2 linked regions of the Macaca mulatta genome follow. Each later gene encodes a partner of the first gene's protein in a complex. Links are inferred from orthologs where the notes say so. Each region holds a gene or a part of one and is shown on either strand. Other genes may lie near its edges.

Region 1 (3,562 bases):
TAACCCTTCATCTCCAGGATAGGGGTCCTTCTAACTTGGTTGTCAGGCTACCTGCAGAGGAGTAACAACCGATCTGCCTCTCAGAGACTGACTCTAAGAGCCTCTGAAGGCATGCCCTGGCCCCAGTTTCTCACTGTATCAACTGATTCCTCACCAGGATGCCACGGGGTTCTAAAAGCACAAGTCAGATCTCATCACTCCCATCCTTACAAACTTCAGCAACCACTGACTGTTTCAGGATCACTGTGGGCTACTTTGAGGGTTAACTCCTCAGCACATCCAAGGCCTTCTAAAATCTGGCTTCAAACCTCACTCTTCTCACTGGATCTGATCACCTCCTTAACACCCACCTGTCTCAGCCCAGCTGCCCCTCATCCTTTAAGGCTGAGGTTAAATGCCCTCTCTGATCTACCAGCTCTGATCCACCAGCAGCTTACACATTTGCATTTCCAAATCTTTTCCTCAATTTAACAACTACTGTAACCAAACTGGCCTTTTTCAAAGCACAAGTCAGTGCTTGTCTTCTCCACAGACTAAAACTTCCTGAGGGCTAGGATCCTACATTGTTTGTATTTCCCAGAAGGCCTGGTTCAACGTGCATTTATGTGCCCACTGCACACTTCAAACATTTGTGTAGTCATCAAATTAGTAAGCTAAGGCCTGTGCCCAGCCAGCATGTCTGCCTTCCCCCCTCCCAGGAGAGCACAATCCCAAATGATGCTCTCACATCATGTTCAACCCCCTTCTAGGCCACACCGTGTGTACCAGGCTACCCACCTAAAGTAGGGCAAGGCTGTTCCTGGTCTCAAACCTCCAGCAGATGTTATTAGATGCTGCCCACAGCCATGCTTCCCTCCCCCAACTTCCTTGCTGTCAGTTCTAATTCTGGCTGGATGCGCAATCTCCCTAATGTGACTAGAAAAGAGCCCTAGCTGCAGCCAGTGGAGCCCTCTGTATCCCCTCTGCTGAGGACTGGCTTAGCCATGGGCACCTGGTACAATTCAAGTCAGTGTGATGTAAGAGGAATTCTGCCAGGAGCTTCTAGGAAAGTTATCCTTGTGATAGAGACATAAGGGCCGGCATAGCCTCTCTTCTTCTACTGAGGGTTTTACTGTCTGCATGGGACTTGTGGGGCAGTAACAGCCTTTATTAACCATGGGGACAGCCTCCCTAGGATGCACTGGCACACTGTGGATGGCAGAGTGGCAGGAAGAGAAGCATCACGTCTATGATGATGCTAGTGAGCCACTGAATTAGTCAACCCTGGGGGCACTTTGAGACTTCTCATGTTGCAAAATAAATGCTGCACTTAAGCAAAAATACCCTAATAGCCACCCATCACTTAAATGTATTAATGACAATAACAATAGTGCACTCCCACAGTCTGCTGGCATGTGCTAAGTCCTGGACAAATACTATCTCCTCTGATTCCCTGGGCAGTCCTGTGTGTGAGCATCATGATCTTCGAGCAAGGCTCACAGACAGGGTGTCCAGGATTTGCACCCAGCCTACCTAACTCTAAAGATGATGCCCTCCCTGTCATATATTACATGGCTCCAGGCCTCTAGTCCTCTCTCCTCACACCCTCCCGAAACACATACCACTGCAGCCCTGACATCTGTGAAGTTTCAGAGCTGAATGAGACTGTCAAGTGATCTAGTCCCTTACTGTATAGACTTGAGGCCACAGAGACTGAAAAAACATGCCAAAGGCAGCAAAGCAAATCACTGACAGAGCCAGGGCTGGGAGAACCCAAGTTCCTGGCTCCCAAAAGACCCTTTTCCATAGAGGTGAAGCCGAGCACATCCCAGGGGCAGCCTGAGCCAGCAGGGCTTCAGACTAACCAGGTGCCAGGGCCCACCCCCTCTTTCCCCGAGTGCTGCCCAGCTCAGGCTAGTTCAGGGAAAATCTGCACTCACCAGCCGGACTGACTTCTGCTCCTCATGGCTGATGCTGCCTTCACCCATGGGCAGGGATGCCTTGGAGTGCTTGGTGGCAGCCTCTCTTTCCGTCTTTGCCACCTGGAAGAGCTTATCCTGGACAGCAGCATGCTCCTGTTCACACCTGTGCAGAAGAAAGATGAGGAGAAACAGATGCAGATGACATGACGGGCAGCCCATAGCCAAGACAAGGTCTGCGCACTCACTTCAGCTGCCAGGGAAACGCTGAAACCAGCCAGCAGCCGGCCAGGAAAGGAGAGAGTGCTGTAAAACCACACGCCCCATCATTCCACGCCTGAGCTCAGGCATCACTGACAGTTCCCCAGACAAGGGGAGACAATGACACTGAGCCAGGACAACACAGCTCAGGAACAGGAGGAGACCTGGCCAAGTAGGCAGCCCCATGCCCAGTGAGAGTCTCAGGGAGGGGCTCAATCCACGGATTGCCTCCACTTGAGAGCTTGAAGATTGGAGATGGTAGTAGTCCTCTGTTTTGAACATTTAACTCTTCATTCTGAATATGTTCCTACCCTTTGACCTATTTCTGGGCATTCTGCCTAGTAAAATAATCCTATAGAGAAGAAAAAAGTTATTAGTGCTGAGATGCTCTTAACAGTATTATTTATTATAGTGAAAAAAATGCAAGCAACCTAAATGTCCCAAAATCAAGGTCAAGCTAAAGTAAATATGGTGTGATCATATAATGATCTATGACATCACCACTAGAAAATATAGTCTTTCATTTGTCTGTAGGTTAAATCTAAAAACTGAGAACCAATAAATGCTTTTAGTAATAAAACTGCTTATAAAGCAGGTGAAACTAATGACAAATCATTATAATACGAAGTGAAAATAGCAAGATATGAAATTATCTATGACTTTCAAAAAATAACCCTAAACAGTGGGTAGGGGATTCTGGGTGGAGAAGAACATGAAATACTCCAAAATATTAATAGTGGTTGTCTTGAGATGATGAGTCTATGGGTGATTTTTTCACTTGATAAATTTTTAAATCTTTCATTAGCATGTATTACTTTACCATTTTGAAAATGTTTAAAAGTACCAAAAAAGCGGGGTTCAGGTTAGTAGTTGGCTTTTTTTCTTTTTTTTTTTTTTTTTTGGTTTTGGGTCTCATAATGTGGCCCAGGCTGGAGTGTAGTAGTGCAATCATAACTCACTGTAAACTCCAACTTCTGGGCTCAAGCAATCTTCCCACCTCAGCCTCTTGAGCAGCTGAGACTACAGACGTGTGTTACCCCCAGTTAATGTTTTTAATTTTTTTTGTAGAGACAGGGTCTCACTATGTTGCTCAGGCTGGGCTCAAACTCCTGACTTCAAGCAATCCTCCTGCTTTAGCCTCCTAAATTCGCTGGGATTATAGGATTGAGCCACCACACCTGGCCAGGTCAGTTATTCTTGCTGAGACCTATTAGGGAGAGTGAATCTTAGAATGTGGGTCTTAACCCATGATTATGCAACAGACCCAACATGGCTGAACTACTAGAAGGCAAACGCCCAACCACGGCTGACACTGGGCCCCCTAAGCTGACCCACTGGGTCCTCTGACCATACTGAGGGCAATTGCCTCAAGGATGCTGAAGAGGCCAATCAGTAACAACTAC
Region 2 (4,336 bases), on another chromosome or scaffold:
AGTTCAGTCAGGCGCGGTGGGTCACACCTGTAATCCCAACACTTTGGGAGGCTGAGGCGGGCGAATCACGAGATCAGGAGTTTGGAGATCGAGACCAGCCTGGCCAACATGGTGAAACCCCATCTTTACTAAAAATGCAAAAAAATTAGCTGGGTGTGGTGGCAGGCGCCTGTAATCCTAGCTACTGGGGAGGCTGAGACAGGAGAATCACTTGAACCCGGGAGGCGGAGGTTGCAGTGAGCCGAGATCGCACCACTGCACTCCAGCCCGGGCAACAGGGCCAGACTCTGTCTGAAAAAAATAATGATAACAATAATAATCATCTCAGCTCACTGTATCTTTCCCTTGACACATCAAAACTGAGTTTCCAGCACTTCCCCCAATGGAATACCACTGATGTTCCCCCGCTCATTTACCTGAAGAACTCCTACCTGTCTCAAAACTAAATTTAAGTGTCCCGTCTGTGAAGCCTTCTCTGAAGTCCCCAGGGGTTCTTTACCTTTTGTTGTGCCATGGACCTCTTTGGCCGTCGGTGAGACCTATAGACCCCTTCTCAAAATGATGCCTCTAATTGCATACAAAAAAGTGCCAACTATATTGAAATAATCTTATTTTTTAAACACAAATATCTGATATAAACAGTATGTGCTTCTTTACTAGCCCACTAAACAAAAAGATCTAGCAGTGAGTCTTATTAACTATCATAGTTCTGAAGTAGTAATGAGCATAAATGATATTTTGAGATCTGCAACAACTGTAATGTGATATGAAAATGTCTGTGACTTGTGCTGATACTGTGACTTCCACTGGTAACAGGTACTGCTAATACTACTGTGGTTTGTTAAGGTAGGAGCTTGTAAAATGAATGGCCCCAGTGAAGTGCACCAACTCATGTCTATGACCTTGTGTAGTTCCCCACTGTATCAACTCTGGACTTGGCTGCGTGACTTGTTTTGACATCAGCAAACATGATGCTGTGTTTGTGCCTTGGGACTTGCCCTCTTGGAAGTCAGTAACCAAGTGAGGAAGTCCAAGCTAGGCACACGGAGGGGCACCAAGCCCCCAGACATGCGAGTGAGGCCAACTTTCAGTCAAGCCACCAGCAGAACTACCCAGCCAACCCATAGATTTTGAGAAACAATTCTTGTTTTAAGGCACTGGTTTGCAGTGATTTGTTACCCAACAATAGATAATTGAAACATTACCCATAACTAAAGGAAGTGCTCAATTCCAATTGGAGATTGCTAAAAATAGTTATATTTTTTCACCATCAGAGTTCAGGGACCCCCTGAAATTTATGTGCAGGTCCTTTGAGGAGCTGAGGGCCCCAGGTTAGGAACCCCTGGTTAAGCCAAGTGGATCCTGCTCTCCTTTTCACTACCTTACTACAGTGTTGGTACACATATAGTTAAACTGGCCACAGCATATCTTTCCTTGTCGTAACCCTGAAATGGAGCTGAGCTCCTAGCACATAACAGGTGTTTAATACACAAATTTATCAAATGAATGTTGATTATAGGATCTGTCTTCCTGACTAAACTGTGAGCTGCCTGAAAACAGAGTAAGAGCAAATACTAGGCCTTTTCCAAGTGCTTTACACATACCAACTTACTTACTCCTTATAACAACCCTATGAGGTAGATGTTTTTACACCAATTTCACCAAAAAAGAAGATAGGCACAGAGAAGGTAAGTGACTTGCCCAAGGTCACACAGCTAGAAAGTGGCAATGCCAGGACTAGAAGGCAGAATGCATGTTCTGATTTTACAGCCTTTATTAACGTACCCAAAGCACATTGCAGAGCTCAACAAAACTTTTAAATGAATACTACAATTCTGAGATTTCATTAGCACTATTTTATGGGTACTATGCTTCTTGAAGACTCAATTTTGTAGATTAATTTCTGGTAGCCTGTGATTTTTTATGACAAAATACATATAATTTACTTTTTAAAAAGTAGAATAATGGCTTTATACTACAGTGCAGATTTTCGAAATTAAGTCTTCATTGTAAAAGTCTATTTTTTTCCCAAAGGACACGAGTTCACAAAACGCAGGGAAGGGGGTCCACTGGTCCGTATTAAATAATGTTCCCTGGGGAGTGGAGCAAAGCTCCAGCTTTCGTCGTCACCCAGCCATCCCACCCCAGCCTCCCCCATACCCTGCACAGCTTCTCCTAAAATGACCCTCCCCCATCCACACATCAGGTTCTGAAACCTGACCCTGCCAGGCAACTAAAGCCGCGAACCCCGCAGTGCCCTGAGCTGGCCTCCCCCTACCCACGATCCCAAGAGGGCACCAGCCGAAGGGATGGGTACTTTGGGGGAAGGCACTTTACATTTTCAAAGTGTTTAATTCACGAAAGCACAACCCAAAGGGCCGCCCCCCACCCACCCGGGGGTCTCTCGCCTCCGCCCGGCAGCCGCTCATCCACAGTAGACCAGTGAATGAACCGCGGGGCCGGGACGCAGCCGGCCCAGTGGCGGGAAAAGCCTCGGGCCTGGCCTGCGGAGAGGCCCCAAGAGAGCGCGGGGAGGGCTCGGGCAGCCGGGAGGGGGCGGTGACAGCTGTGACCCGGCTCCACGCTCTCACCTTGAACATGTCGCTAGCAGCGGTGGCTCCGGCAGGGTCACCCCGGCCTCGGCCACGCCCACTACAGAGAGGTGACTACGGAGGCCCGGTAGGGCCTTGATTTCTCCAACCGCAAGCGGGCCGCGGTGCGGGTAACGGCCGTACTGCAAACTCGGTGCGGCGAAGGCTTAGTTCAATCACCCCGTTCTAGAAGCCGCGTCGCTGAGCTGCAGCGCGTCGCGCCCGGGCGGCGGATGAACGCAAACCCCGCCCTCCAAGAGGCTCCGCCCCTGCGTCGGCGGTTGCTAGGCGGCAAGAAAGCGCCGGCTCTGTGTGGGTGGTACGCGGAGGCGCGAGGAGGGAGGTGCCTGGCGTCGCGCGGCGCTGGGAAACTGTCTTTGCCGCGGCGACCGGGCGCCCAGCGGCGTGGACTGGGATTTCTGTGAGCAGAGGCTGCCGGGAGGGGGCGCTTGGAGGGTCTCGGGCGACTTCGAAAGCCTCGCAGCCGGAAGCCGCCGGTTGGCGGCCTGGATTTATCTTACGAAAGGTTTTAACCGTGGACTGGAGGTTTCTCAGGTTTTAAATTTAAACTAATATGCTGTGTCCTTTAATCGGAAAAGGCTCTGACCTTATTTTTTCCCTTTAAGAAACAAGCGGTAAGCCTCCTCTCTGGGAATCAAATGTTTGTCCCTTAATACTTGTAGAAGTAAATGATAATGGCAATAATTATCTTATTAACAAGAGTAACAAGCACTGATACAGCACTTTGATATGCGCAGTCATGATCTAAGTTCTTTATTCACATTTATCTAATCTTTCCAACGACGGAAGTAGGTGGGCATGGTTATTATTCCCAATACATACATGAAGAAACTGAGGCACATAGAAGTAATTTGTACGAGACCACACAGAAAGTGGGAAGCTAGGATCCAAACCCATTAGTCTGCCTTTGAAACCTGTGTTCTAGCCAAAACAATTGTTTCACTGTCTCATAATGAGGATGTATTTCCTATTTCATTCTGTATTTCTGCCCTAATCCTATAAAAAGTGTAAGCCCTATCCGGGCGGGCATCTGGAAAAATTTGGAATTTGTGCAGTGATGTGCCACTGCCCTCCAGCCAAAGACCACTAGGGGCACACCTGTAGTTGAAGAAAATGGGTTTCTCATTGCTCCAAGGAGAACGCACATGTAGGAACACAGTGGCATATTTCAGTAAAAGAGTTAGATTTATTATAGGATTTGGGCTTTGGTTCGGTGATTTTGGGGTACGTTCAAGGAAGCAGGAGCTTTGCTCTGGATCGGGTGTTGTTAGGAAGCAGTGGTAACACCAAGGCCCAGCTGTGACTGCCAGCCAACTCCCAGATGTTAAGGGCTGCTTTTCTCTTTCTTAAGAGGATTGTATATTCCAAGGCATCCCCAAGGAGAAATATTGAATAGACTCAGAAGGCTCTCTGCATCAGCAGTGTAACATCACACATACGTAAAAGTGTGAAACATATTGATAAATTAGGGCAGAAGGTCTTAATTCATGGGGTGTGCGAACTTGTATGGGGGAAAAAATGACAACTTCATTTTCACTAACCTCTAACTGAACTTTGTTTCTTTCAATTATAGTGTAGACAACAAGCCACAGTAGTATTAGCATTGATGACTTTGTCATCAATAGAAAGCACAGATATTTTCATGTTACCTTGCAGTCGTGTCAGAGATCTTGAAATATTTACGCTCATTACTGCTTCAAAAATACAGTAGTCATTAGAGCTCA

Evidence for each region. The genes of interacting proteins can lie anywhere in the genome.
Region 2: CHCHD6 (region 1) and APOO share a complex: the UniProt entries of both Homo sapiens proteins name them as parts of the mitochondrial contact site and cristae organizing system (MICOS) complex. The link is inferred for Macaca mulatta from reciprocal best matches to the Homo sapiens genes CHCHD6 and APOO.

Annotation. Positions count from the first base shown.
Region 1 is NC_133407.1:157,207,172-157,210,733, forward strand, and holds part of CHCHD6 (MICOS complex subunit MIC25), read right to left. Parts: intron 2,065-3,562; coding exon 1,920-2,064; intron 1-1,919. UniProt on the Homo sapiens protein: Component of the MICOS complex, a large protein complex of the mitochondrial inner membrane that plays crucial roles in the maintenance of crista junctions, inner membrane architecture, and formation of contact sites to the outer membrane.
Region 2 is NC_133426.1:23,700,444-23,704,779, forward strand, and holds the start of APOO (MICOS complex subunit MIC26), read right to left. Parts: upstream 2,837-4,336; 5' UTR 2,601-2,836; coding exon 2,592-2,600; intron 1-2,591. UniProt on the Homo sapiens protein: Component of the MICOS complex, a large protein complex of the mitochondrial inner membrane that plays crucial roles in the maintenance of crista junctions, inner membrane architecture, and formation of contact sites to the outer membrane.